Lepisosteus oculatus: one gene and its partners. The protein of the gene in region 1 interacts with the protein of each later gene in a biochemical or structural test. Links are inferred from orthologs where the notes say so. Each region holds a gene or a part of one and is shown in the gene's direction. Other genes may lie near its edges.

Region 1 (7,251 bases):
CTCTTTTTTGTGCAATTGTCTGAAGACATTTGATCGCTCTGATGCAGACGAGCCCCAGTGCAGTTTGTCTCAAAGGGTACCTGCTTCTAAAGAGCAGGAACACCCATAATGATCAATGGAGCAAGCAATTTGTTCATAGAACTCTGGGCCTCATTGGTTGAATGGTCATATATTTTAGGCTTCAAATAATTACGTAAGGTAACCTCTCATTAATCACAAATTGTTTAAGGCTTTTAGAAAGAGCTGATTAATGGCTACTTGTAAATCCTGCTTATTAGGGACTAGCTGAACATATACAGTAGCTTTGCTAATATTATTATTTTTTTCAACAATAATTTTCTCCCAGTTATCACACAAATGACTTGAAATCTTCCACAGTATTTTATCCCTAACTAACCAGTTTTCTGTATTGCCCTGTTTCCTACATTTATCCTGAAAGGGTCTCGGTGCAGTTGGACCCCTACCATGCCTGTGGGTGTATATTTTCAGTTTTGACATGCAAAGAGGCAGCCTCACTTCTTCCAGTCAACACACAAAAAAATTTGAATTTATTCCAGATAATACTATTTGAAAAAGTAACTGCAGAAACCTGACAGAGAGTCTTATTAGCCCAGTGGCATTCAATAGTGTTTCCATAACAAATAGCATTCGATATAACTCACATCATTTCTAGTCTGAAGTGAGGAGCCCGCAGTACACATTTATGCTAGCTCGTGGCATAGCCCTGGGAATCCTGATCTGGCTGAGTCATAACCCTCATGCGAATGAAGATCCTGAGATTCCTCGAGGCTTTCGGTAATGATGGAATAATCTCTCAACATCACTGAAATTCTGTACTGGATTTCAATGTATTTTTGAAACACAAAAATATTAGTTTGGTGTAGCATTGGCGGCACAGTGTTAAGCATTGTTGCCTTATAGTGCCAGGGCCCTGGGTTCAATTCCTGGGGTGCTGTCTGTGTGGAGTTTATATGTTCTCCCTGTGTTTGTGTGGCTTTCCTCTGGGTGCTCCGGTTTCCTCCCACAGTCCAAAGACATACTGGTAGGGTAACTGACTTCTGGGAAAATTGGCCCTGGCGTGAGTGTGTGTATCTGTATCTGTGTGTTGCCTGCGATGGACTGGCATCCTGTCCAAGGTGTGTCCCACCGTGTGCCTATTGCTTGCCAGGATAAGCTCCGGCTCCACTGAGATCCTGAATTGGAAGAATCAGTTAGAAAATGAAGGGACAGAAGATCAGTTAGGTCTCACTGCGATTCATTATTTCATTTTTGTCATTCTTTTTTCTTCTGTGCAATTTCTGCTCAGACCGGTTTGCACTCAGCTCTCAAGACTCGAGAAATATACTTAATAAAATAACGTCACAGATGGGAGGATACCGTTGTGCCAATCTGTCCTATTTGTTGCTAACAGTTAAGTTATTCTGAGGGTCTCGTCCAGTTTTCATCAAAGAAGCCTGGTTATTGGCTTCAAACCCATTGCAGAATACCTTGTTCCTGACTCCCACAACCTGTGTCAGAAAGGTGCATCCTGTCCTCATGTGAATTGCACTTGCTTGTGCTCTGATTTGTGTGTTACTGGTGGTCTAGTCCACTGGGGTTTTGGAATTCTTGAATCAGGTCCCTTCGCAGTCATCTCTGTTCAAAATGTAAAAATTGTGAATTGTGAATTGTGGGAATCTACAACACGCTTCCCAGGCAGGTGGCTAAGACCAAAGCTCTTGGCATTTTAAAGAACAAGCTGGATGAAATCTTAGTTTAAATTTACTAAACTATCAAACTCGGAAGTTGGATATTTGATATTGCTTGCATTCTTTCTTATGTTGTTGCTTAAATTATATTATGTTAAAATATTATTTTAACTTTTAATTTTAAGTGTATAACATTCCTGTGTATAAGACCAGGGGACCAGGGATGTACTGATCACAAATCTAAATGTGTTATTACTAATGTATTGTACACATGTAACATAATATCCCTTTAAATTTCTCTTTGTATTTTTTAACTGCATATAATTGCATATAGTTCTCCCGAGTTGTCTATATTAAATACCAGAAGGTGTTCCACCAGGTTTGATTTTATACAAGTTATTTTTTCATTTCCTCTGCTACTTCTACAATCTTTGCTCATCTTCCCATTTTCTTATTTCAGCTGTGAACTTGACTAGTTTACTGACTATATGCCAATCAAGTTAACATAGGAACTTTGCTGATTTATGAAAACTTTGGACTCTGTTTTAGTAGTCATTTCTCCATCCAAACACAAGCAATGTGTTTGATCTGAGCATTAATCCTTTTATTGGGAACCTCATAAAAGGGCTTTTGAAAATCTAAATATAGAATAAAACGTGTTCATCTTTCATCCATTGCTGGTGTTACAGTACTTCTCCAAACAACTCTAAAGTGCTTTAGTTAGCAAGACAAACCTCTTGCAATCCATGTCAACTATCCCTTATAATCCTACTACCATACAGTCAGTCCTCTACTGTAATCTGATTATATTCTCCATTGGCTTGGGTTCCTTACTCTTCTTGTGAATGGGTGCTATATTTCAATTTTCAATATTTCTCTTCTCTTGAGAGATTTTTGTTAGCAGTGTATAATAAAAACCACTTTCTTTCTTTAAGTATGATTAATAGAATAGCAGAAGGCCCTGCTATTTATTAATGTCTGCCTAGTGTGCCTACATTGTCTCTTTTATTATAGAGCTTTGTCTTTTCTCAGCCTGAAGGGTGTTGTTGAAGATTATTCCCTGGCATTCTTCTAGCATCGAGAATCGACACTATTACATTAGCGAAGATGTGATGTCACAGATGCAGGAGCTCCGGAATTTCTGCAGAACCAGAGCACATTGCTTCAGTGAGCAATTTCCACTGGTGAGGATCACCATTGGAAATGTCTGGGTGTTAGCAAGATCTCTCTTGCTCTACATCATACTGCTGGCTAGGGTCCTGTTATTACAGCACGTTACTGACACCAGTGATGTGACTCTTACCCTCGAGTAAGCACTCTAAATTATTTTCTGTTGTAGCAGTTTTATACAACTACTACTAATAATAATTGTTAATATATTTGTTATATTAATTTATTATTAAGGATTAATTTTGGTATTATATTTTTTATTTAATTAATGATATTTAAGCAATACACAATTATTACTATTAAATAATAATAATAGACTCTTAGTAGTAGTAGCTGCTGTAGTTTATCATTAGTAGTAACAGTAGTAGAGGAGGGTAATTTGGTTTTATTCTTATTCACTCCTAAGGACAATGTACTGTATAATGAGGGAACCCAAAAGTGTCGACGGGAAGCACTTTCCTGGGCGACAAATCGTGATCGGCAGCTCACGCTCAGAAGAAAAGGGGGAGACGTGCTTCACCAATTGAATCACATTGGAAGCGAAAGCAGGAATGTTATTGAAGAGCCCCCTTTATGAATGTATGAATTTCAAATGGTCTAATCTTTGAGGATTGATTGCCAACAGAGGGCCCCAAAGGATTCGTTTGTTCGTGAGAGAAGCTAGTGAGCGATAGTTCGCCTATTTTTTTTTTAATATCGAGGCAGGAAGAAAAGCAGTGTGTTATCATTAAAAAGAGATCCGAACCGGTGTGGGACTGAGTTGTCCCCCGTTTCTCTGAGCTGTTCATTCATTTCTTTAAAAGACGGTGCTCTCTTCCACTGCTGGCTTCTGATGTCCAAGCCGGGGATACTGAAATCTTCCCCAAAACAGCTACATTTCTGAATGAATGCAATATATTGATTAATATTTCACTAAATTAAAAAATCCACACTTCACAAATTGATGGTAACAGTTAAGTTGCATGCTATTGATTTTTAACACGCGATGAAGGCAACATTAAGTAAATATTTGTAACTAACATTTTTGGAAATTAGAATAATACATAGATTTTATACGGAGATATTTGAAATATTCTTTGGGAGGGATTCCGAAGACTGGCCACTATCTTAAAAAAAACAAAGTTATTTGAACGTTTTTATTTGTTTAATTTAAAAATAAAATAAGAAAGACTACCATCTCCGGACTGGCGACATTGCAAATACCCTCTAGTATTCCCCTGTTATCTCCCCCCATCAATTCAGTCGTAAGGAATAGCTGTCCTCGCTTGCACCACGTCTCCGCTAGAGGGCGACAAACGGCCCGGACGAGCCGTGAAAGGGGTAGGGTGAAAGCTGGCTGGAGGCTGCCAGTTGCGGAGTCAGAGATACACGGCGCTGCGCTCTCGGTTCGCAGCGGAAAGCGTCTGACAACCTGGGTTAAGCTCCATGCAGCTGTCGTAAAACGCCTGTTTGGAAACAACGCATTGCAAACCTCTGGGAAACGATTTGCGAATTTATTATCCAGAAAGCGATTCCTGGGGCGTAAAGACCCAGGGCTGCTCAGGTGCGAAGTGCCATCGACCTTGGAGAGCTTCGGCTACATTGTTTCTTTCTTGCAAACCTGTACGTACCTGCCTAGAAAGAGCCCGCCGAGTCACACCGAAGAATCATCCCCTTGCTTGCTCGGGCTAACACGGGAGACTGTATCCGTCTGAAGCTCGCAGGAGGACAAGTGGACAAGTGGAGACGCCGACGTCATTTTTAAAGGGGGATCATTATTGTTTGTAAACGACTGGGTTATAGAGGAGCTGCTAGGAGGTTTTGCCAACAGATTCCCACGGTAGGATCCTGTGAGCGAGCTTTCCTGCTAGCAAGACGTGGACTGCAAAAAAAAAAACCTCGGGAGTTCTAGCTCAGCCTGGCTTCATTAGTGTAACGATTTCTACGGGTGTTTGGGAAGATACGGTTTCAGGATGCCACTCGCACAACTTGCAGACCCATGGCCCAAGATGGAGCTTGTTCAGCTGGAAACCGAGGTAAGAATGCAGCCGGTTCGCTTGGCGTTGTGAGTCAAGTGTCCCCCCCCCCCACTTTCCCATTAAGTGCTGTGGAAGCCAGGTAGGCACACGTGGGGAAGAGGTTACAGCACTCGAGGAGTAAACTCCATAAGTTCTTAATTTAGGTGTTATGAAGTAATGGTTGCATAACAGCAGAGCGTTTCCTATAGCACTGCGATAAAAAAAATAGATTGAGTGGGGGAAATAAAAAATATTAGGCATTAACAAGTTTTAAAGAATTTAGGAGAAGATGTAAACATTTGAGCGCAGAAAGTTTGAGGAGTATGTGATTTTGCCACAGTTAACACCGAGTCCCAGCAATGTATATTAAAGTTTTGTGAAAAGTTTTACTTTGTCTAGTGTGTGAATACATTTGAAATCCGCTTGCTGCAGAAAAGCCTGCAGCAAGATTCATCCAGATAGTTGTACTTGCCACTACCATCCCAGGCTCATCACACGCCTGGTTCGAGATTGCATTTTATTTTTTTCTAATGTAACCTTTAGCATTAAACAAGTTCTGTTGTTGTTGTTTTTTTCCACTGAAGCTCGACCCGTTGATAGAGCAACTTGGGGTTGTCGGTTGTACAGTAAGTGGCAGAGCTGGTGCGCTCTTCTGCAGCCGAAAGTCCAGATGTGTCGAATCTACAGGTGTCTAGAACAGCGAGGTGCTGTAGGAATGACGGTACTGAAGTATAGCGTTAAATCGAATATGGACTAGGGACGATTAGACTGAATTCTGTTGGTCCTGAGAGCTGGGTTCCTACCTACATATTGTATACAGAGCCGTCCGCTGTACTGGGTGTGGTTATTCCTTTTAAAGGGGTGGTGAAGACGACTGCGTTATCTGATTGACGGTGTCATCCTTATATTTGTGAATCGGTTTGAATCACGGCCCCTAGTTACAAGTAAACTCGCTAATCTCTCAATTCCCTTCTCCTCCAGTCAGTGTTCTTGGCAGCCTCGCCAGTGTGTCTAATCGATGATCCGTTTGACTGGCCCGATTGCTGCTTTCTTCCTGAAAATGCTTGGGAATGCAATGAAAATGCTCCAGTATTAGTGCTGGCAGTCAGTGTGGCTGCTATGCTTTCCAAACAGAGCTTTTGGGACTGCACAGAATTATCTTTTAACAGCCGTAGACTAGTCTTGACAGACGCGGGGCAGAGAAAGAGCCTATTTCTGAGTGTTTTTCCCCTGTGTGTTTATTGCATGGGCTCCAGCTTTTCTTTTGTACGGCCTGATCGACGGGAGCTCTCAGCCTTTTATAGTAAGTGGAGGCGGACAGGATCGTGACGGAGGGCGATCACCGCTAATAAGGAGCCAAGATTTTAATTACCCTGAAGTTCACAACTGTGATTGCAACAAATAATGTGAAGGAGGTTGTGGTTGAGAAAAGGTTGTGTCTTTGCTGTACAGTAGGCTGCACATCCCCTGTAATATTTGTCAAAGCATACAGAGTCCTCAACGAGGCTGTTAGATTTTACACTATACTGATCGTGGGATTAAAATTCCCTTGATTTCTGGGGACCCCCTGGATAGTGTCAAAGACGCCCAGGTTGACAATTCAGTTCTGAAAGGTTTCACTAGTGATGATGAAGGTGTATTTAGTGGGGCACATTGTTGGATGGGTAGGTCACGCCTTTCCTCCTGGTGCAGAAGTTCCATACTGTTTGCCAAGTAGGGGACAATGTTACGGTTGGAGCCAACCTTTGGATGAGTTGACCTTAAGTTTGAAAATGACCTGGCTTCTGGTAATTAAACTAGATAACTGGAAAAGTGCAGAGCTCCTGTGTTCTGGTAGAATTCATTTCAAACATTTTCTGTGCCCCCGTGTTAAATGAATTGGCTGGGACATCCCAGCGTTATCTACCTTTTGTGCTGTCATTGAGCTTCTGGTGTACAGTGACTGTGCACCTCAGAGGAGAGAGGAGAGAGGGTTGAAGTACAGTACCCTCCACCCAGCTGCATTATGTCTGCAGAGTGCAAAGTGCCTTTGTTATAATTCTCAGAGTTATTAACTTTGTGGCAGCACAGTGGTGGAGCTATTAGCAGAGCTGGGGCCCTGGGTTCACTTTCTGGAGTGTTCACAGTGGAGTTTGTACAGTATGGTGTTCCTGTGTTAGTGTGAAATTTCTCCGGGTGCTCTGGTTTCCTCCCACAGTCCAAAAACCTGCTGGTAGGTTAATTGGCTTCTGGGAACATTAGCTTCAGGAGTGAGTGAGTGTGTGCGTGGCCTCTGTTGGACTGGCCTCCTGTTCAGGGTATATCCTGCCTAACGCCCATTGCTTGCTGGGATAAGCTCTGGCTCCTCTGTGACCCTGAATTGGATAAAGGAGTTAGCAAATGGATGGATGGATTAA
Region 2 (8,171 bases), on another chromosome or scaffold:
TCTCAGGATCACTATTTGAAACAAAAATAGAAAATCTTCACTTTCATTGACCAGAAAACATTATTTAGATAAGATTCAGAAAATGCATATTTTTCCTGTTAAACTTTCTTCTTAAGACTTGCAGCTCCAGTTTCAGTTCATAATGTAAAACATTTCCATAATTTAAGAGCCCAGAAGTAAAATAAACAGTCAAGACATCCTATTTAAGAGAATAATGCAACAGTGTGAAGAAAAATAGAACTTATTGTTTGTTAAACTTTCTGTCTTCATAGAGGATTTTAATAATTGCCATTTACAATCCTGATGTTTAATGAAACTCCTGTGCCCCCCAAAACACATGCATACTGTATACTGACACACATCCCAACATTGCTTCACATTTCCTGAAAACTAAAGTGCTAAAACCTGTATTTTACTTAAAACAACATAATGATAAAACATAAAAGTTCACATCCCTAAAACCATTCAGTCATCATCTTAGAAACTTGATTAATTGGATACCAAATTCAGCATGTCGGGGAGTAAAAATCTAATGTCCCTTCTGTTTTTTGGATTTCTCATTAATGGACTCTCAATGATGCCTTCCTTGACAGGAGAAGTGAAACCTCAGATAGATTATTACCAATTATCCTTTCATGCCACTTCTCTACTGCAGACAATACAATGTATGTTATTTAAAAGATTCCCACATCAAAGCACCTAACTTCTCGCCACTTCATCTGTAGAATATGGTTGACAGAATTACTCTACTGCAAACTCTTGCTATCAGTTCAGGTCAGTGGCTTCTCTCTCTATCCCTCATTCTTTGTCACTCTCTTCTCTCCTCTTTTGTGAATGAAAATATGAAATGCTGAATCCACAGCATAGATTCCTTAACTTAATTACATTCCAGGCAAATAGAAAAACAGAGTTTTGACAGCCAACAGCATGCTTGTGGTCAGTGGACATACTTTATTAATTCTGTCACTTACTGTATAGTTTATCAGTGTAGCATGGAGCAGATGACAACAGCTCCCATGCTGACTTCGCACCAAATGTTCCTAGCTAATTACGAAGTATTATTCCACATGACCTATCTGCTAAGATAGACAGCTCCCACACAATGTCAGCAAGGACTTGTCAAATTCATTTTGCTATGAAAATAAAATTTCTATCCCACTTTAAAATGAGACACTCCTTCTACGGTTGTGTTTTGGTGAGTGTACCTCCCACCTCAAGAATTTCAAAAATGTGCAAAACTCACCACTTTGGGGAGGTCGAGATTATTTTAATGTTTTAAGTGATGTTCTTTTGCTTTTGTCTTATTTCCATTAAAGAGAACAGAAAATAGAAATTGCAATGTCTTGCAAATGCATCATCCACTTCAAATGAATCATTTTGCTGAATTTCAAATGAGGTACAGTATTCACATATTGTAAAGTCAATATTTTAATCAAAATTTGAATGCTCAAATAAAATGCTTCTGTGGCTGAAATAAGGTAAAAGTAAGCAAAGGAAGGAAGTGAATACTTTTGAAAGGCACAGTAGTTCAAATGGTAACCTTTCAAATTACTTGGTTGTAAGACATACTGTAGTGTAATAGGAAATATTCTAGCAATTTAATTTTCTATTCTGTGAATGCTTACAAAATGTTTTACATAATTTAACAAGGAAACAAAAATTAACCTTGATGAAACAACTATGTATTTGTGTTTTTTATACAGTGAATCATATTTTAAAAGTCTCCACTGTGAACAGTAAACATATAGTTGGCTGTTTAAATAAGATATACTGTATACACACAAGTCAGGCATCCTGTGTGGGTGTTTCAGCCAAAATTTCAACAAAATGTAACACCCATTAAATATTTTGCAAAATAAAGGGTGTAGTGTTAATGTGGTACTGTAACTAGTACTGTTACCTCACAATTCCAAGATCATCAGTTTGGTCTTACAGTTGTGTACCAGGTGTTGAAAGTGCTGTACTTGTAACAGTATGGTGACTGCATGGACCAAAACTTAATTAAACACATTTTATACACAGTATAAAGTATATATTTAGCAAGATTGAATATACTTTTCTTAAAAAGAATCACAGCTTCAAAGAAAACAAAATATTATACATCTACTCCAGCTGGTGAAAAATGTCTTTGTGAAAAAGAAATCAAAATTCAGCAGCATGTTATAATCTTATTTGTCTATCTTGCTAATACATGGTTTAAAAGCTTCTGTGCATATTAAGCTCTCATACACTCAATTGGCACAGGTCAGCTCGGCATAATGCTTTAATCCAATGTTTCTGGGATTAGCATACTGTATATTCAGGCTTCTATTTGGAGCCTTATTATTTTAATCTACATGGAATATCCTGATAATCTGCATAGTGATATCAGTTTATTATAGCCTGGCATCTAAAAGCCATATGGTCATCCAGTTATCCAAAATACTGAGAACAGGATAAAGAGATATTTAGTTTATTTCACATCCAAAAACTTTGGGGACATGTGAACAAACTTCCAAAATGTATAATCTCATAATTGCATTATATTAGATATCCTTTTGTTTCAATAAACATTAAATGGCCTTAGCACAAACCTCAAATTTATGAGGTATTTTATATCTGTGTAAAATGGTGCGCGTGATTATCATTGCCATTTTACAAAGCATTATTATTTTATACACATTGAAAAATGTTGTTATTTTATAGACATTTAAAAATGATTTTGATAAAACTGCAAATAGAAGGTCTTGATATCTTGTTGATAAAACCAAAGAACAAAGAAAGGGTTGATTGCAATGGCACTCAAGTGTAACACAAAAGGAGAAACATATGTCTGGGTTCATACAAAATTGTGAAGATATACTTCTCAGTAACATACTGTAAATTAACTTGGTTGGGATTATTCTTGAGCTACAGTACAGTGCCAGGCACAAGTGGCTGGGTGACAATCTGCCTCATACCATACTTGTGATTGTAAAAAAAGCCTGGGCGATTTAAATTTGGATTCCATTTGAGGCAAGTGTACTCCAACAAATCTACTAAAATGTTGCACAGTCTCTCTTTACGGTGACCAGAACCAACTGTCAAAGGCTGTTACAGTAAGTCTTCAGTACGGTGTGCTTCCTTCACAATGGCACTGTGCCTAATTACTGTATGTGCAATGCTATTCACCCAAAGTACTTTACAAGGCAATTTACTGAAAGACAGTATTCCAATGCATCATGGAAACAAACTACAAAAGAGAAACACTTTAAAAGAAAACACTATTCACACTCTAGTGAACCTTCAGAAAGAGAGTAATAAATATGTTTGTGTATTCTAAATCCTAGAATCATATGCTTTGTGAATGTATGAGTATTTTAGGTAGGATAGCTTTGGTTTAACCTGTTTTGTTAAGGGTAGCCCCCTGGACATAGGATGAGGAGGCTTGAGCCCCAATCTAACAGAGGAAATAACCAAGCGGTAGCTGCAAGGTGGGGATGAGGTGGATGAAGACTAACGTATATGAGCCAAATGTGAAAAGAAGTGTTTGCATTATATACTGTATACTGTACACTATATACTGTACAGCATATACAGTAGCAATATTCAGTAATGATTATGATTAGGAACAGCTGGGTGAGATTGACTTTGTGTGTTTATCCCTCCTGAACTTCAATTAATAACTTCCTTTTAAGGTTGGAGTGTGTTAGGTAAGAAAATATGCATTTTTTTAAGTAATGTAAAACAACGACTAAAACAACCTTTCAATAGTTTTTGAGAATCAGGAATGAAAGTCCTTTCTTTACTTTCAGAGATAATACAGTAGCTCTTTTCATTACACTCACTACAACTACTGTACATGAAGGTACAGTACACCTAGGAAGAATTTGGAAAGACTGGTTCCAGCATGACACCGTTGTCGACAGTTTTCATCACAGTGCTTTAGAATTGGATTAGATACCACAAGCTGTTTCCAGTCCCTTACATCCACTATCCCTGTGAATGAAGTTGTAAAATTTGGCAAGCTACCTGCAGGTAGTTAGCCAAATTTTACAACTTCATTCACTTAGAAGCCAAGCGAGGACTATGTGTGCATGGAAAGCTTCAATGTGTCCTGTTGGTTTTACTTACTGGGCGTAAGGTAACCTTCTTTGTTAAAAGTAGCATGTTAACAAACGAAAACTATACAGTAGGTCTTTATTTAAATGGAGTCTGTTAAGCTCATACTTTACGTGTTTTTTTAGAAACGTAATCGTAATCAATTAGAAATGGCAACATGTCTGAGACATCATATGTACGAATTGCAAATACATGAAGGTACATCTAGAAAGACGCAGGGAACACTGATACCGCCATGGCACATCTGGGAACCCAGTTTTAAACATATATTATGCCCTCAATTCGCGTTAACACAGCGTTTGCTATTTCCCTGCATTCAAGTTTATTTTTAGATATTTAAAACGGGAGAGATGCAAATTTCCTAGAAGAATTTCTAACGAATTAAAATATTATGGCATGCTGTGTATTTGTAAAGGACCTGAACGCCCCATTGTTAAATGTGTCAGAAATCTGCTTCGTTAATTTCGTTTTATATATGTCTGTTACAGGCATCACTAGCACATCTCGCCGATTCCCCTTTGAATAGTTTGCTTTCTCAGTTAACAAGCTTAATCCCTCAGTATTAAAATTAAACGCACCGCCTCTTTATCTTTCCTCCTGGCTATTCTGCGGAGGGATTCAGAGCCCTGCCTCTCTCCTCCAGACATCACATCCGGGTCAGTTGCCTGCAACTCTGTGTAAACCAGCTTCACAGTTACAGTGTAACGCAGCCCCAGACAGCTGCTATAGAGGCTGGCTGACATGGATATTACCAGTAGCATCCAGTATTAATAAAATAACCTAGTATCCACTGGGGCATCAAAATCCAATATCACAGACAGTACTGGGAACTTATTGCATGAATAACTCATGCAGTATTTATTTCAGCCATGTCCAAAAGCCTGAAAAAGAAAAGCCACTGGACCAACAAAGTCCACGAAATTGTCATTTGCAGGAATAAAGAAGGCGAGCTTGGGTTTGAATTGAAAGGAGGCGCTGAGAATGGGCAGTTCTCCTATGTCGGAGAAATAAAGCAAGGCAAGGTTGTCTGTCAGAGTGGAAAACTGTCCCAGGATGAGCTACTGTTGGAGGTCAATGATACTCCAGTGGCTGGACTCACCATCAGGGATGTGTTAGCCGTTGTCAAACACTGCAAAGATCCCATCAGGCTGAAATGTGTCAAACAAGGTGAGTAGTACTATACTGTAATGTAGCCATCGACGTACCGCTGCTTTGATTAAGGCAAACCTATACTGTATACTATACAGTTCATGTGTGTAGTTCGTGCTATCGAGTGTTACTCCTGTTTATGCACTGTACAAAACGACGACAGTTTTAAATCTAAAACTTGGATGTCATCGAAAATTATGTTCTCTCGCGTTCTTGTTGTTTTTCCAGGAAAGGTCAAAGTCAGCAAAGTTTAAAATGCAAAAGAGAGTGGGCCGTTATGCGTAGCCTTAGATACCAGTTACAAACTTAAAAGCACAACAAAGCGGTTTGGTCGTAAGAGGTGTCCTTTGGATGGGAGCAGATTAATTAAAGTTACCGTAAATAATTTCCTTGAGAGTTTTTCACCTTTTATTTTAATATTGTTGCTGTTTACACGTTTTAGAATCCGGTCTTAAGTTGTAATGTGAAGTCAAGCATCAGTAGCTGAAAGGCACGGAAAAGATGAGTTGTTTTCGGCTTCAATAGCTGCTATCAGAAGCTAAAAGGAAATCCCATCCTCGACCTCCTGTATACAGTTTTACAGTCTTAGTATTATGCCTCATGTAAATCATTCTTTGCAGTCCGTGTTGTGCTTTCGGGCGATATTGTATGATTGATGTCTTTCGCTGGAAGTGAAGGAAGGTGGCGAACAAGCGTTCCCAGTTTCAGGCACACTTTTGCAGTATGTGGGCGTGGCGTTGCAGCTTTACAATCAAAGTTTATATAGAGATATACAAATAAAACAAATATTTTCCAACGTGATCCAACAGTGATAGCTTAAAATACAACCGTAGCTTTAACAATGACACAAATGCTTTATTTTAACAAGAAGAGAAATGTTAATATTTTATTTTTCTGTTTTGATTGTCTTTGGATTTGAGCAGTTGCCTTGTTCCCTTCAAGGCTTAACTTCTTGTTGAGAGCATCAATGGGATACAATATCTGTTAGAAAATTAAGTTAGAACAGTTGCTTTATTTAAGAGGAAGGACATTTTGATTTGTTACATGTTTCATTTCAGCTGCTATCTGCTCTAGATTTTCTGCGTTTTGTTAAAAATAAGCAAATATACAGTATACAGGTACAATCAGCAGAGTCATTGAGTCAGACTTGAAGGTAGCAGGAAAACAATGTCTTACAGCATTTGTTTTGCTTTAAACAGTTTTATATATACACAAATGAATAGGCTTCACTACTAATATTGATCAAATTATACTTTATATTGAAAGACCCACACTGATTCAACCTTAATATTTACTGTTGGTGTGTATCTCCTGTTGCATTTGCACCCTTAATCTGATGTCTGAATGTCTCACTGCTGCAGATAAGAACTGGAACCAGTGTTGGCTCAGAGCTGCTTCATGCAATAATGAACCGAACATGAGGCGTGATCTTGACTTGTTTTAGTCATGCTTGTTTTAGTCGTGGTACAGGAAAAAAGGCATTATGAAACTTAAGTACTGTATGTGTTGTTGTGTCCGATACATCACAATATGTTTGACTGGTTGTGTAGACTGCATTTTGAGAATTTTGATGATAAGAGAGTCTTGAAGCTAGAGAATTATGATGTATTGAGCTTTACATCATGAGTTAATAGTTTTGCTAATTAGTTCATTTTTACAGATACATCTTCAAAACTGGAAAAAAAACCAATATTTTTTGCGAGTATCTTTGGGATATTTTCTTTGATACACCATTCTTGCTTAACAAAATACTATTATGGGGTAAATAATGTAATTTGTGATCGACTGTGTCTGTGATGAACTCCCATTCATTTCACCATTAACAGCAAAGAGTTTATTTTTAATTCCATTTAATTCATTTTAAATAATGATAATATTAATTTTAAATAGTGCCTTTCATTATATGTTTTCTGAAGTCGCTTTTTGATTAATCAACACCAGAGACAGCTATAGTGTAGATGAGTCAATACAGTAAACTAAACAATTAAAAGCTGGAATAAAAAAGTTTTAAGAAAGGATTTCAAGTGCTGATGATATGAGCTAAGAGATCATTCCATAGCCTTGGTGCAACATTAAAGAAAGCATGGTCTCCCATGGTTTTGGGCCTTGAAAGAATCCAGTGTGCTCAAAATGTATACTGTAAGTGTTAACAGTTAATTGATTAGCTTCACAGGAGTTCTACTACGGTGCTAAAGCCCTTAAAGATGAACTGCATTATTTTGAGTTCCATTCTGAGTAATTTATTTTAATTAATTTTAGTTAAGTTCTGTGCCACTATGTTCTGATCATACTGCAACTTAGGAACATAATTGCAGGTACCAGCAAGCACTTCATAACTATTCAAGCCTGGAAAACATAAAACCATGGTTTGCTTTCTGTATCAGATTGGGAGAGATGTGAAAGGATTTCTACCAATGCTGCTAAGATCGAAAAAGACATCTTCACAGTATTTCAAACATGAGCTTCAAGTGCAAGCTTGTATAAAAGGTTCCTGACCTGTGTCCGTGATGCTATACTAAGACTATCAATAGCCAAAGTGTGCGGAGTTGATAAGGAGCAGATAATGTGGTCCTTTCAAAGTTCAGATGTAAAAAGTATTATTGCTTCAGTTTTTAACATCATTTAAGCACAGTGACAGGACAGATAGGATTTGATTAATGGTAGGTGCAAACATCAATCTGGATGTTATCAGCATAGAAATAATATCTGATGCTTTACCTATGAAGAATCTGACTCGAGAGAAACATATACTGTAGATCCTAATAATTAATAGATGAAAAACAGAGCCTTGTGGGACACCATATGTGATCAGCTTTGTAGAAAAAGAGAAATACCTGCTTTGAACAGACTTTTCAGTCAGAGTGATATAGTAGGACTTCAAAGTACAACAAAGTAGCTCCAGTAACACCTCTATTTTTTCAGTTTTTGGTGTTACTTTTAGT
Region 3 (7,305 bases), on another chromosome or scaffold:
ATGATACAAATTTGTTCTCGACAAATAAAGTGAGTCCTGCTTCATGGCTAGCAGACGAAATACAAAAAATGGAGGATCGCTGATGCAAACCCGCCTCTAGTGCTTTTGTGTACTTTAAGATCAGTCACGGCACACCTGGTTATACACCAAGCACATTGTAATGCCTCCCCTCTTTGTTTTCTTATATACAAGTTTGAATCTCTAAGTCTTGTTTGTGAAACGGTTTAATTTTCATCCGTTTATACCAAATACTCGTGTCGGCAATGGCACTGTCTGTGCTAAGGTAACAAGTGGGGCTCTTCCCAGCATGCACACTCTCTGCCACGCCAACAGACCAGTCCTCTGCTGTGACAGAGTTATCCACTGTCTGGATTTCAGAAGGGGAGGCAATATCACTTTTGTAACACGCTCAGTGCACTGAGCCTTGTTGCTCTGACACCTAGAACTTGTATGATCAACAGATTCATACCACCTAGATACAGAGCAGCTAACCACTGGGAAAGAATAACAGTATTTTCTCCATTTTAGTATCTATGCAATAATAGCACCTTTGTTTCTCCATTGTACAGAAGTGCATGTATTGTAAAATGTTTCGGTTTAGCAGTCTTCACCAATAGTGCAACCTTGCTGTCGGCCAAGGGTTTGTTTCTGTAGAATGGATTAAAGAAAACAACTGGTTGGGTTTGACAACTTCAGAAAGGTTAGAAATTTGGTCTGGTATGTTAGGAAACAAGCTTAAGCAATATAATGGAAAGATCTGTCCGTCTTGTAACACACCAGACTTATTCCACATTTAACAGGAAATTAATGAGTAAGGAAGTGTAAGCAGCTGTTCAATGTCTGCCTTCCTGAAGCCTACTTCTTAATTTCTCTCAGAAATAGCTGACACTCATTCTGACTCTGTCAAGGTGGGTGTGAGAGAATGATTTCAAAACTTTAGCCCTGCAACTTTTTATAAAACCAGTTCCAAAAGTTGTAAAGCAAATGTGGAAATGAGAGAGCTATGTGAAATTGTAGCTCAGTTCTGTTTAGAAATTAATGTTGAGGGAAAGATTTGAAGGTTGTCTCTCAAAAGTCTATATTACGGTTCACAAACGTTGTAGCTAATTGTTGCAACTCTTTGAAATATGAGCACAGTTCACCTGATTTAGATGAAGAAGTGCAATGTCTTCAGTTCTGTTATACTGTATGATTATTGGTTTGTTTGTTTTTTTAATGGATCTGGTAAATTATATTAACGAATGATGATTAATGCATAACATTGTGTAGTGTTACATTTGTTGCCAGCCACATAAATAGACTTGATTTTAGAAAAAATCAGAAGCATTCAGTTCAGTTTAATTATTCCATTTAGACTGTCTTAATTTTTACATCTCTTCTGTATGCCATATCTGAGATTCTAAATAAAGGTATTTTTGAAAATGTTCTTTCAATGTCTTTGTTTAAAATATGTAAAGCAAAAGGGTAGAAATTACAGTGATGCCTGTAATTAAAATTGAAGAGGGGAAGCAGAAAAATAACTTTAGATTTAAAGTTTGCTTAAGTACCCTTTTGGATTATTTGATTAAATAAACCCTCAAGAATCAATTCACAAGAGTTAATCTATTAACAATTTATGTTATTACTACAAATTATAAACTGTCCAAGTTAAGATTAACACTGAAACATTATTTGTCAATGAATTGACATTGACAAAGGTACCAGATATTTTTGGTACTTTAGTTTGTTTTCCCATTTCCATGTTGAAAATCCTATGTGAGAACCTTACTTCTGTTATGGAAAAACAAAACATTCATCCAAAACACCTTGTCTCAACAGTACCAAACAGGACCACGCTGTTTTTTAAAAACAAAATGGCTTTGTAAATAGTGCTTGTGGGCAGCACATATTTTAGATGTGCTCAAGGTGTACATATTACAGTGTCTGTACCATAATTTTTGAAACTGCTGTTTACGAATTATAGAATTATCTCTGGCTTACTTCAGCCTCATTGAATTTACCTGCATAGATGTTCTGAAAACAGTTCATAGCGTTTAGTCAGTAGAGGTAAGAAGAGATAGCACTGACAAAAACCTATTCTACTCATATCTATAATGCAATTTTTTTTGTTGAAACTTAAAAGCACTGTATCGGAGCTCGCTTAATACCCTTACCAGCAGGAAACTGAGAAAATCAGAGCAAACTGAATCAACTAAAACCAAGAGTGAAACTAAATTGCACATTGTGTACAGTGAAAAGAGAGGTTTTAAAGCACATTTTAAATATGCAGAGCTGCAAATTCCCTAATGGATTTGAGTAGGCAGGGCACTGCACACAAGAAGACCCTGTTGACCCTTGAGCAAAAAGAACTGAATCAGCAGACCACAGATTAAGAGTTTATCTGCTCTCGTGCAACAAGTTCTTAAGATAACCTAGATCCAGAACATTCAGTGTCTTATAAATATGTATACAAAAGACATTCAGCATGAGATCGATATTTTTTGTTTTGTGCTAGCAATGAATAACTCATCTGCCCCTTTTTTTTAAATGAAGAAGAAGCTGTAGTAAACAGTTCAATAATGAAATTTGCCCTTTCAATGTATTGAACTTAATACTTGTACCACTTAAATCCACAGAAATCACACATAAAGGAATTTTGTGATTGTGAAAGGGTTTACCTGCAAAATGTTGGCATAACCATCTTAAATATGATGGGGAATCTGAAGGTTTTTACTGAGCATCAACGAAGCTTCCCAAAAACAATTGTGCAATGATAGTATGTTATTTGAAAAATAAAAATATATGGATTTTGGATATTAAATGTCTTTGTTTCAATTTTTTTAATTGATCATTCGTGACTGACCACTAAATTTTCTTTGGTGCATCAACACTAAATCGTGTGCAAGCGATGAGGTGATTTAACCTGGTGAATGTCAGATCTATCTATAATGAAGACATTATCAAGAGAACAATGCCTTTATAGCTTGTGAATACCAAAGGCCAAACAAAGTCTGAGGTGTTCACAGGAACACTGGACTGCAGTTTCTAACCTAGTTAGACTTTATAGCCAAACTCGTTAAAGATGGACCATGATCTTGGAGACCATGAGTCGTAACACCTCACCATAATCAATGGGGTCCCAGTGTGATGGTCTGGGCAGGAGTGTCCTGTCGCTACACAACTGCAGTTTTAGTGAATGCCATTAACCAGAGTGCACAGTGCTGCTCGGATCTCGTCTTGGGACATCCCATTCTGTGACCTCTTCCAGAACATGACAACCGTCCGGCGCAACAACACCTACCCTCGTGCTGCTCGGGGAACAGCAGCTTTTTCTAAAAGGTAAGAGTGGGGCAGTTATGTGGCAGTGGATGCCCTACTGCCCGGTCTCGAGCTCCACTGCCAAGAGCTGGGATGACGTGTGGCATTTAGGGTAGACTGGCCCGTGAACAGGCACTTGTTTGTCCAAGCTGTAGGAGAGGAATCTGCCACAGAATCCCACAAGGCAGCATCTGCAGCCGATACAAAGCGTGAACCAGGACTGATTCACATGTGTTGCTAGCCTAAACTTTCACAGGAAAGCCCTGTTCATACGCGGGAGTTTCATAAACTAATGTCTTGTAATAAAATGTTGAGTGCACCCGCTGCAAAAAAAAAAAAAAGATTTCCATTTTTGTGATAAATTTGTGAATTTGTTGCAGGTACACAAGGCAGGCTTCTTTTCATGCTCAGCATAATTAAATTGTGAAATCAACTAGATGTCAGTGTTGCTCTAAGAAAGCAAAAGTGGGCCTCATTAATTTCAGTTAAGGCATCCAAATAATCTCCAAACGACGTTAAAATGATAAATGTATTATTTGACACTTCTACTCTGCTAAGATTGATCTAATTGCAGATATAGGTATAAATCTGACTTTTCTTTTCAGCTTTTTAGTTTTCTAATCAAGAGGACAACAAAACGAACTAAAAAGGCTTAAGAGAGATTTGTGCGCTGAGAGCTACTCAACGCGCATTAAATGATATCAAAGGACAACAGCAACGTCCTCGATGCACAGTTTTAGCATTAAGTATTGTTTTTAACAGATGTCTCGGGTGGGTAGATTTGATAGCGAGACGCACATAAATCACAAAGATAAGCCCTTTAATCTGCTTCACCTGTTTGACTTTCACCTGTACGGAATAAAACACCAACATACGCCACTATGGCATTTTAAAAATGCGTCCGTAAATATTTTCACATTCACATTTTTGGGGGGTGGGTAACGTAACTGCACATCACAGGCGAAGGGTGAGGGTTTCATGATCGGCGGGCACCTCGATAGGTTTTCCCACGCCAATGATGAACTAATGCGGACGGCATTAAAGAAGCTATTCCGATGTGCTGCTGCTTGCGTGTCCCTGTCGGCAGACGGGTCTGACTGCAGCCCATTGAGTGACTGGAGAGGACTTTTTTTTTTTGGCTAAACTCCTGCCCCAGGTGTTGCTGTTTGATCCCTACCGGTCTCCGTACTGGAATTTCAAGTGCATGACGTCACTCCCGCTGCCAACAAGAAAGTTCGCAAGTCCTGGGCAGAACTTTTTTTTTCCCTCCCTTAGAGAAAGAGGGGGGATTTAACTCCAAATTCGCGGTGTCTCAACTACGGCTAAATAAAGTCTTACGTAACGCTCTCCTGTGTGCCTTTTTCTAATGATAAGCGTACGGCCAGCCCCAGGGAACCATGGTAATATAGGCAAAAGCAAAGTCAACGAGCAAGGTTTAGATGGAGGATCGGCAAGGTAAGTAGCTCATTTGAACTCACTTAGCAAAAGGGTTTATGATGCGACAAAGTTTACATTCTTATCTTTGCGGCATTTGCCAGTAAATCCTAGTTAAATTCGCAATATATATATATAATCTTCACTGTTGCCCCGTTTATAGTGGAGTTAAAGTTAGGGGGGAGCATTTTCAAATTCCAGTATTAGCGAACCTGTTGTAACCTGAATACCAGCCTGCGAACACGCAACTTTCAGGTTTGGTGAGAGCTCCTCCGGTCGCAATTATTGTGTTTAGTTTGGGTTTCTTTCATGTTTTTAATCCAGCAGCCCGAGTGAGGCGATATGCTAAATGTGTTGAGCACCAAAGCTCGGGAAAGTGAAATGTGTGTGTGTACATATATATGTGTGAATTTCTTTCAATACACCGCTGAACCCTTTCCCCTTGAAGGTTTGTATTGATTCCAGTCAAAAGTTTAACACTTAAATGCACACTTCTGTGTCTAGGTTATGAACAGCTGGTGGTTCATTTTTTTAGGAAGGTGTGAAATATTCTGGAAGTGTTGGTGCGCACATTTTAAAAGGCGACGACTGCTTCTCCCCAGCCTGCGGGAAAAAGTCACAGCTCAGTCTGCAGTCGCTCAATTTTGATCCCTGTGCGTGTATAAATTAGCTGGTATTTCATAGCTTTTCTGTCTAAAAATAACTTGGACAAAAAAAGTCCCCCTAACTCAAACCATACTTCGGCTATGATCGTTTGGACACAGATCAATCCCGTAGGGTTACATAATGACACTTTAATGGCTCCTTTTAAAGCTGTTTTGCTTTTCTATTCAGACTGTTTTATCTAAATAAATACCTTTTAATTTTGTAAAAGTGCAAAAAAAACTGTTACAATTATTAAAAAATGCAGGGTTTTTTTTAAGGAGCTCCTTTTAAGTTCCAAAATCAAGTAGCGCAGTAAATCGCTGATTTATGCTGCGCTAAAAGGTCGGGGAGGACGGTTGCTTTTGTTACGAGTTCTTAAAGAAAACCAGTCGCTGCTGTGGTGCAAGTGGATGTTTGTGCCGTCCAAATGCGATGTTTTTTTTTTCTCACGCCTCACGACACTGTCTGGTCCTCAGGTGACGAGTCTTACCGTTGTGTGGGGTGTGGAAGCAGGATTCTGGACACTTTCTACATCAAAGTTCTCCAAGACGTTTGGCACAACTCCTGCTTTCAGTAAGTGCAAGAAGCTGCTGTGCGCAATTGTGACTGATGTTAAAATGCGCCTGGCTTAAAACTCACTGTTTGTCCTGTGCAACTGCAGTCTTCATTTGATTTCACTTTGACCAGTGGTTCAGAGATGCACCTTGACGTTTTGTTTTTGTTACATTATGAGCTGTAGCAAATAAAATAGTTTTTTTCCGATATCTACGGCTTTCGCAGTTTTTTTTTACTGATTTTTATTATTATTGTGGCAAACCTAGTCATTTTCTTTAGCCGGGCTAAAGCATGCACTGAGCTTTTTTTAGCGCTAGACAGCATATAAAGTCGAAATGTATTTGTACTTATTATATAGGTACAATATGTATTTAAACCGATACCTTTCTTCACACGCCTGTTTCAGTTTTTGAGTCTTTAGAGACTTCTCAGTGTCGTCTTACCGTCTCTTTCCTATGTTGACTTTAAAGCAGGTGAGCTGTCAGTGGTAATAATGAATAATAATTGCTTACACTTATATAGCGCTTTTCTGGACACTCCACTCAAAGCGCTTTACAGGTAATGGGGATCCCCTCCACCACCACCAATGTGCAGCATCCACCTGGATGATGCGACGGCAGCCATAGTGCAACAGTACGCTCACCACACATCAGCTATCAGTGGGGAGGAGAGCAGAGTAATGTAGCCAATTCATAGAAGGGGATTATTAGGAGGCCATGATTGGTAAAGGCCAATTGGAAATTTGGCCAGGACACCGGGGTTACACCCCTACTCTTTTCGAGAAACACCCTGGGATTTTTAATGACCACAGAGAGTCAGGACCTCGGTTTTACGTCTCATCCGAAGGACGGCACCTGTTTACAGTATAGTGTCCCCATCACTATACTGGGGCATTAGGACCCACATGGACCACAGTGTGAGCACCCCCTGCTGGCCCCACTAACACCTCTTCCAGCAGCAACCTTAGTTTTTCCCAGGAGGTCTCCCATCCAGGTACCGACCAGGCTCACACCTGCCTAGCTTCAGTGGGTTGCCAGTTGTGAGTTGCAGGGTGATATGGCTGCTGGCTGTATGCTGTAGTCATACATCTCCAGGGATTTGAATAGGAATTAACTTCTAGGATCTGTCAGTATTGTAGACAGGCATGTGATGCACGAATTTTAACTGTTCGTACTTCGGTGAATTCAGTGTTGTTAAGTCCTGGGATCTGTAGAGTGCATTTCATCACACAGGATACCAAAGCACTTCTAACTATAAGAGGGGATCTGCTTGAGTGATGTCTGGCACCAGAGTCCCCCATGCAATGAAGATCAGAAGGAGGAGGTAGTAAGTGTCCCACCAGCTGAATTATTGGGATATTTACTCAGATCGGAT
Region 4 (7,251 bases), on another chromosome or scaffold:
CCAACTCATAGTTAGTTTGTTTGGTTAATTGGATAAATACAATAATTCTCTCCAGGCCTGCAAATTTTTAAATATACTGTATCAGGATTGCAAAGTATCTTTTAAGGTACCGTCTATGGGGAAAAATGCAACATCCATTTGTCTAAGAAAATGATTTGATGAAGTTAATCTGAGTTCTCAGGTTGAATAGAAAACTAGAAGGTAAAGCAGTCATCTAGGAACTGAGTCCCCCTCCTTAAAGTCATACTCACTTTGGTAGCAAAGAGCACTTCATTACACTAAGCTTTGTGAGCAGCTGGAATGAATTATCCAGCCCAGTCCAGCTGGACCTGAATGAACTTCAGTGCTGTGCCGGGTATCTCCAATCTTGGACCTGGAGGAACATGTGTATGTACAGTAGGATTTCCTGGGCTCAGTAGCAGTTGTGGAAGAATTAGGAAAAGTTTTTAAATTTCTTCAGTTCAGCTCTTGATATAGTTCATTAAGAGCATAAATGAACTGAAATCCTTTTTTCAGGAACGAGGATTGTGGATTTCTGTGCTATGCAGTAATTTAGTTTACACCCTGATTATCACTGATGTTGGGCTCCGTAATATTCAATGTACTGTACATGTGAAAATTCTGGAGTACTTCTAATCAGTGTGTGAGATCATGATTTTGTCATGTTAATTATATTGTATTTTTTTATTTTTATTTTTATTTTGTATTTGTATTTTTATTTTTTTTGACACCTGAAGAAGGCTCCACGGCCGAAACGTTGTGTTCTCTTTCTTCTTTTTTTCAGCATGGAATAAACCTATTACTTGTTCCTTTGCAGCCTACGCATGCTGACGCAGCTACCCACCTGAACTTGTATTTTTTTATGTTTGTCATGATTTTAAAATGATGGCACAGTGATTAGCATTGCTGCCTTGCAGAACTGGGGCACTGGGTTCAATTTCTGGGGTGTTATCTGCATGGAGTTTGTACTGTATGTTCTTTCCGTGTTCACGTGGGTTTCCTCTGGGTACTCCAGTTTCCTTCCACAGTCCAAACACATGCTGATAGGTTAATTGGCTTCTGGGAAAACTGCCCCTGGTGTAAGCTTGTGCATGTTAGTGTCTGTGTTTGTGTCCGTGCGTTTGCCTTGAGATGGACCATCCAGTGTGTACCCTGCCTTGTGCCCATTGCTTGCTGGGATTGACTCTAGCTCCCCTGTGACCTCTGTATATTAGATGAAGCAGTTAGAAATTGATGTTTTAATTTTTTTATTCTACTAAAAGAACCTAATTTCATTACAGTACCTTGGTTAAAGAGCTTGTTCAATTTAACTTAGTTTAACTTAGTTTAACTTAGATTTAATTTAGCTTGCATATTAATCTAAGATAATACCTAATTAAAAATGTGGCTAAAAGCAAAATGAATTAAATAATTAATTTACCTGTGTAACATTTGGGTGAGGGATGATTAATTGATCCGTTGAAGCAAGCAATTGACGTGGTTAATGGAGTGGCAATGGCTAATGGTTAGTGGCAGAATTAAGATGGTACTGTGTACAAAATCTGCACTGTGAGAACTGTCCATCTTCTTATCAGATTACATTTGGATTAGCCACAATTGGAAATCAAAACCTGTACAATGATTTATTGTTTTGGTTTCATTTTAAATGTTTTTAGAATGTTTTAGTTAAGGGATGGACAGCTTCTATTTTGCACAAGTTACATATACTGTATTTTTCCATTAGCATCTGATTAAGACCTAAAATAAATGATTCAAGTAGGTAGCTGCATCAGCATGCGTAGGCTGTAAAGGAACAAGTAAATGTTCATGGAATAAGCCTTTACTTGCCATCCTGGCCAGATTTCCCATTGGCCCTTACCAATCATGGCCTCCTTGTCACGGACGTCCAAAGGGACTAACCGTGGGGAGCAGGAGAGCGGAAAAAGACCCAAATGCGTAGCGGCGAGACGGGAAAAAGGCCCGGGCTCATAGTGCAAATAGTTCAGGAGTGCCGTATAGAAACCTATGCCCTCAGGGAGCGGACGTGGGGCGCCCTGGTGCTAGGACATCCGAACATCAGTGCTGAGCGAGGACAGAGTGCAAGACCCGGAAATATATAGCCCAAGGGAAAGAGAGGGACCGAAAGGACAGCAGACCGGAAACTAGGGACAGGACAGAGAAGGAGTGCCCTCTGGCTGCAGAGGGCGTGACACTCCTAATAATCCCCATCTATGAATTGGCTTCATTACTCTGTTCTCCTCCCCACTGATAGCTGATGTGTGGTGAGCGTTCTGGTGCACTATGGCTGCCGTTGCATCATCCAGGTGGGGCTGCACATTTGTGGTGGTGGAGGGGATTCCCATTATCTGTAAAGTGCTGTGAGTGGAGTGACCAGAAAAGTGCTATATAAGTGAAAGCGATTATTATTATTATTATTATTATTATTATTATTATTATTATTATTATTATTAAATAAATCACATCATATAGCTAAATATTTTGTTAAGTGATAAATTACAGACTTATATTAAAATTATATTAAAATATGCTGCGTATGTTTCACAAGATATTGGAACTGCCCAGCAGTGTTCTAAACCCTCCATCCTTCAACTATAAACTCTTATATATACTGTAGTAGCAAGATATACTGTGTTTAGCCTACATATATAATTATAAGTTAGTGGGTGTGAAAAAAACTATTTCACACCTACTATTGTCAGGAAATACAAAGCAGTAACACTTACTCGCATCCGTCTTTTTTGTTCTCTGTATGAATGTGGTAATAAAGTAAAGCAAAACTTGATCTGACAAATATATTTACAATAACAAACACACAGTACATATTACTGTTATGTACAGATATTTACAAGATTGTGAGTACCAGGATCCTACCTTCTATAGAACCATTATAACATGCAGAACTACTGTAGAGAACTGCATTCTATGTTTTAGGCACAAAAACGAGTAGGAATGAGGAATGACTAAATCATTTCCTAAAACTGTTGCTAAACAGATGATATCCTATTTCCATTCTTAAACAAGTGCATCGCTAAGCAATAGGGAGATTTCTTCTGCTCGATGGATACCAAAAATAGAAAACAAATTCTACTACTATTATAGGAACAAGTAATAGGTTTATTCCATGCTGAAATTTCATTAGATATTTTTAGCGGTGTGATAACAATAACGGGGAAATAAAAAATTCAATGAGAATAAAAACATTTTATTTAAAAAGATGCAAAAATGTAGCAGAGCATTTTGTTAACTTCACTCGAGATAAGATGTTTGCTTTATCCATTAACAGCTTGCTACACCTCACAGAATTTAAATAGGCAATAACTGACCGGGGGCAATGCTGAGATGCATACCCATTGATTTTCTATCAGTTAGCAATTGAAGATCTTTCTCTTGACCAGCAAACAGAAGCTTCTGGCAAGAGTAAATATATAATACTTAATAGATGCATGTAAATAGTCAGAAAGACACACAACTGTAGTGGTACACATATTCTCTCCCTCTTGTTCAATAAACATCTAGACATATTACAGTATTAAATATAAGATGGAGGTGAACAAATAACAAAGCCTATCATGTTTTGTGTATATTTGATCATTATATATGTGATATTTGAATCAATCTATAATTATTGTATTTCACTTCACTTTAATATTATTTATTATTTTATGTAAATGGACCTTACTTAACCTGATATCACATGTTTAGACTGTTTCTGGCTGTCGAAATTGAATGCGTTTTTGTTCTTTTAAAGGAACTTAACTACAAACTCTGTTCTGCTGCATTTTGTAAAATAGGCTTGCTATCACACTTCTAGTTTACTTCTTTCCTAAAAAGGAAAGTGTAGTTATCTAAGATTCATAGGACAAAATCCAGGTAAATATCTAAGCCTTTAAGTCAACCTTTGGTCTCTCAAAGTCCAGCGATGAGGAGATAACACCTGAAGGAAAGAAAGGGAAGACTCCCTTTGGATTGTACCTCCACAGCGACAGGTGAGTTTTGGCGATCTAAATTTAATCTAATAAATCTATTCTATTGAAAAAGAGGTCCAAATAAAAAACAAGTATAGGTGAAAGTATGATTTCTTTAAAAGTATAAAGTAGCTTATATTACAATGGATTTTATCTGTATTTGTTTTTATATAAATTTGCATAAATGTCTAGAATTTTGTAACGATCAGTAGTTGACCAACATGGTCACAGAAATGTACTGTAAATTTAATTGTCACTAGTTGGATGGTGATTTTTGTGCCCTTTGAATTAATACCATTGCTGCAAAAATAAGTTACTATATTTCATGGGAGAGAATAGAAATGTGTTGTAGATTGATTTGATCAAGATGAAATAGCAGTGAGCCAGAGAAAGTAAAAACGCAGAATTACAATTTAAAACTTCAAGGAACGTGAAGACCTGTGTGTTCAAAATGTGTATATAAATGTAGGTATATTTCTGTAAATAGCAAATGCAAACTTATTAAAACTTTGAGGCTAATTGTTTAATCTAACAGTCTAACATCAATTTGTGTGATGATTGCTCTTCTCCTACCAAGTCTCTCCATTTTGTATTTATAGATGTTTTACTGCTGAATGCTGAAAAGGTTTTTATATGTCCATAAAATATTTCAACTAAATGAATTTGCATTTTCTTTGTAGAGACAATGTTTTTCTAATATTTCTATCATTTTGTAATATTTTAAATTGGCTTGCTTTTAAACATGAAAACAAGAAAATCAAGAAATGTTTCCATAAAACATTTTAGATGAAAGGGGCATTGTATGTATTTCTGAAATCAGAAATGAAACTCTTGACATATGAACCAGTTCCTTAGGTATTTCTTTAGGAGTTAAGGAGAGAACCCCATTCACCAGAAAAATACAGTATCTCACAATAAAGACATGGATGTACTGTATGTATAGCTTATATTTACATCATGCTCCCACCACCAATAGATTTATTATTGTGGAACTGAAGGGCAGCTAGTCCTATCAAAGAGCTCAATCACCTGGTAACTTAAGAATTCCTAAGTTAATGATGAACAAGCCAAGGAATTTAATGTGAATCAGGTGATGTATGTGTCTAGTCAGCACATTTTGTTAATGCTAAACTTAATCTAGTCTCAAATGTATTGACTTTTGCCCAGCTATAAGAAACATTTAAATTTCTTTAGTACTGAACTTGGTGTGTGTCCAGAAAATTAAATACGCTCCATAAATTTATTTTTCTGTGTATTTAGTTATAAAAGAACCTTCTTTGTTGTCAGCTAATGTCTGGCACAGGAATTAGAGTATCATGACAACACAATTGAAAATTACATACAGTGTATTTCAGAAAATAAAAACATCTGTTGTTATAAAATGAGTAATCAAACGATATCATGTTGCTGTCTTTGCAATAAGGTCCTCATAGTCAGACTATGGGAGATGGCATAATAAATTACATTAAACATTGTTGGCATTATGTGAGGAATTACACTAAATATATTTTATTGGGCTTAAAAAAGAAAATAAACTTATTTCCACAGACATATTGCTTTATAACCTATTAATTCTTTATAATTACAATTTCAGTGGTACTAAATAGTATTCTGGCATTAGACATTCTTTAGAATGAATACATTAATTCCAATTGGAAAATGAAAACAGTTCAACAAAGCAATGGCTTACCACTGGTTCTTTTAACAATAATTTTCAGCAATTGGATTGGATTTTGCAAATAAAACAAGCTTTTAAGATTGTCAGTGGTGATGATGGCACCTTCTGAAATGTGGGGCTCGATTAGTATCACGGTGGAAGACCTCTTAGGTAAATCACACTACTGATGTGATATACAGTAGTAGACTGGACGTTTCCCCCTAAAACAGAGTTTCCAAATTAATGCACCAGTGCAGTATATAGTAACAGTGGGCATTTTGCTATAGGAAGAGTCATCTTTCATGTGAAGTGTTAAACCACTGTTCATACAGTGCCAAGAAAACGTTTGTGAGATCCCAGTATAATTAAGGGGTAATTGTTTTTTTTTACCAAGATACCTTTCTTTAATTGAAACCAGTCTTTCTCTTGTGTGTTCAACTTTTTTTATTCTGTAAACACAAAAAATGATCATACAAATAAAAACAAATTTCCCCCATTACCCCCTCCCATCCCAAGTCATTCTTGAATAAACAAAATGATTTATATTTACCAGTTCAATGTTTTTTGAGAACCAGCAAAAAAAAAAATAATTAAGAAATTGTACTGTATGTAAAATAATGTTAATCCCTTGTTTATTTGTCTAAATGGTGTAATTAGACCAGGCGGTTAAATAATTGGTTACAAAAGACACAAAGACTGAGTATAGGCGGCCTTGTCCTTGAGTATGGGCAGTCCCGCCCAAGAACTCCCCACCACGAGCATCCCAGAAAAATGAAAAACCCTCAAAAATGATACAGCAAGTCACTCCAGTTAACAGAAAATCATCCAGTAAACCCTGAGTAACATCTACAGTTCTGCAGGCCTCTCTCAGTGCAGTTTCAATGTTCATGACTCACCTATCACAAAAACCTGAATTGGAATGACCAAGAAGAAACCATTTCTCCATAAAAAGAACATTTTCAACTCACAATCACAAAAGATGATCCAGAAGATGTATCCTCTCTGGATAAACAAGTCAAAGGTTAAACTTTCTAGCCACAATGAGAACTGTTTTGTGTGGCAAAAAAGAAGCAAAGACATCCAACAGGAGAACCTCTTCCTGAGGTTGATGGAAGTAGGAGTTTCACATGGTTTGTTCTGCGTTGCTACCTTGCAGTCCGGATGGTTTACTATCACTGAGGGAATCATTCATTCAGAGCTGTATCAGTAAATTCTGGAGGATAATATCAGGCCATCCTTTTCCCAGACAAAAGTATGTCATGCAGCAAGACAACTATCCTAAACATACAAGCTTGAGAAGAAGAAAATTTACAATTTGTATTGGCCAAGTCAATGGCCAACATGAGAGGACCTATAGTGAGTGGGTTATCGGAGTATAAAAAGCTACTGTACCCAGCCACACTGTTGGAGCTGACAACCTGGTTCCTTTCAAGAAAAGGCTCAATGGGATCCTTGGAACAAATACTTACTAATAAGTTAGATGGGCTGATTGGCCCCCTCTTGGCGTAACTTTTCTTATGTTCTCAAGTTCATGCAATGAAATCCTCAGATTTCACCAATAAGCTAATACATTATACAAGCTAATACAACTGAGTGATAAATAATTTTAAAGGAGATGCAACTAGTTAC

What was found.
Region 2: the proteins of rps6ka1 (region 1) and magi2a interact in a test that uses a peptide from one of them, tested with the Homo sapiens proteins (2 studies listed by BioGRID and IntAct, with this or other methods). The link is inferred for Lepisosteus oculatus from reciprocal best matches to the Homo sapiens genes RPS6KA1 and MAGI2.
Region 3: the proteins of rps6ka1 (region 1) and limk2 interact in a test that uses a peptide from one of them, tested with the Homo sapiens proteins (2 studies listed by BioGRID and IntAct). The link is inferred for Lepisosteus oculatus from reciprocal best matches to the Homo sapiens genes RPS6KA1 and LIMK2.
Region 4: the proteins of rps6ka1 (region 1) and pdzk1 interact in a test that uses a peptide from one of them, tested with the Homo sapiens proteins (2 studies listed by BioGRID and IntAct). The link is inferred for Lepisosteus oculatus from reciprocal best matches to the Homo sapiens genes RPS6KA1 and PDZK1.

What each region holds. Positions count from the first base shown.
Region 1 is NC_090706.1:11,002,503-11,009,753, reverse strand, and holds the start of rps6ka1 (ribosomal protein S6 kinase alpha-1), read left to right. Parts: upstream 1-4,195; 5' UTR 4,196-4,810; coding exon 4,811-4,873; intron 4,874-7,251. UniProt on the Homo sapiens protein: Serine/threonine-protein kinase that acts downstream of ERK (MAPK1/ERK2 and MAPK3/ERK1) signaling and mediates mitogenic and stress-induced activation of the transcription factors CREB1, ETV1/ER81 and NR4A1/NUR77, regulates translation through RPS6 and EIF4B phosphorylation, and mediates cellular proliferation, survival, and differentiation by modulating mTOR signaling and repressing pro-apoptotic function of BAD and DAPK1.
Region 2 is NC_090702.1:34,683,897-34,692,067, reverse strand, and holds the start of magi2a (membrane-associated guanylate kinase, WW and PDZ domain-containing protein 2a), read left to right. Parts: upstream 1-4,783; 5' UTR 4,784-4,949; coding exon 4,950-5,247; intron 5,248-8,171. UniProt on the Homo sapiens protein: Seems to act as a scaffold molecule at synaptic junctions by assembling neurotransmitter receptors and cell adhesion proteins. Plays a role in nerve growth factor (NGF)-induced recruitment of RAPGEF2 to late endosomes and neurite outgrowth.
Region 3 is NC_090717.1:6,598,984-6,606,288, forward strand, and holds the start of limk2 (LIM domain kinase 2), read left to right. Parts: upstream 1-4,274; 5' UTR 4,275-4,736; coding exon 4,737-4,752; intron 4,753-5,852; coding exon 5,853-5,949; intron 5,950-7,305. UniProt on the Homo sapiens protein: Serine/threonine-protein kinase that plays an essential role in the regulation of actin filament dynamics. Acts downstream of several Rho family GTPase signal transduction pathways.
Region 4 is NC_090710.1:24,600,387-24,607,637, reverse strand, and holds the start of pdzk1 (Na(+)/H(+) exchange regulatory cofactor NHE-RF3), read left to right. Parts: upstream 1-3,910; 5' UTR 3,911-3,986; intron 3,987-7,251. UniProt on the Homo sapiens protein: A scaffold protein that connects plasma membrane proteins and regulatory components, regulating their surface expression in epithelial cells apical domains.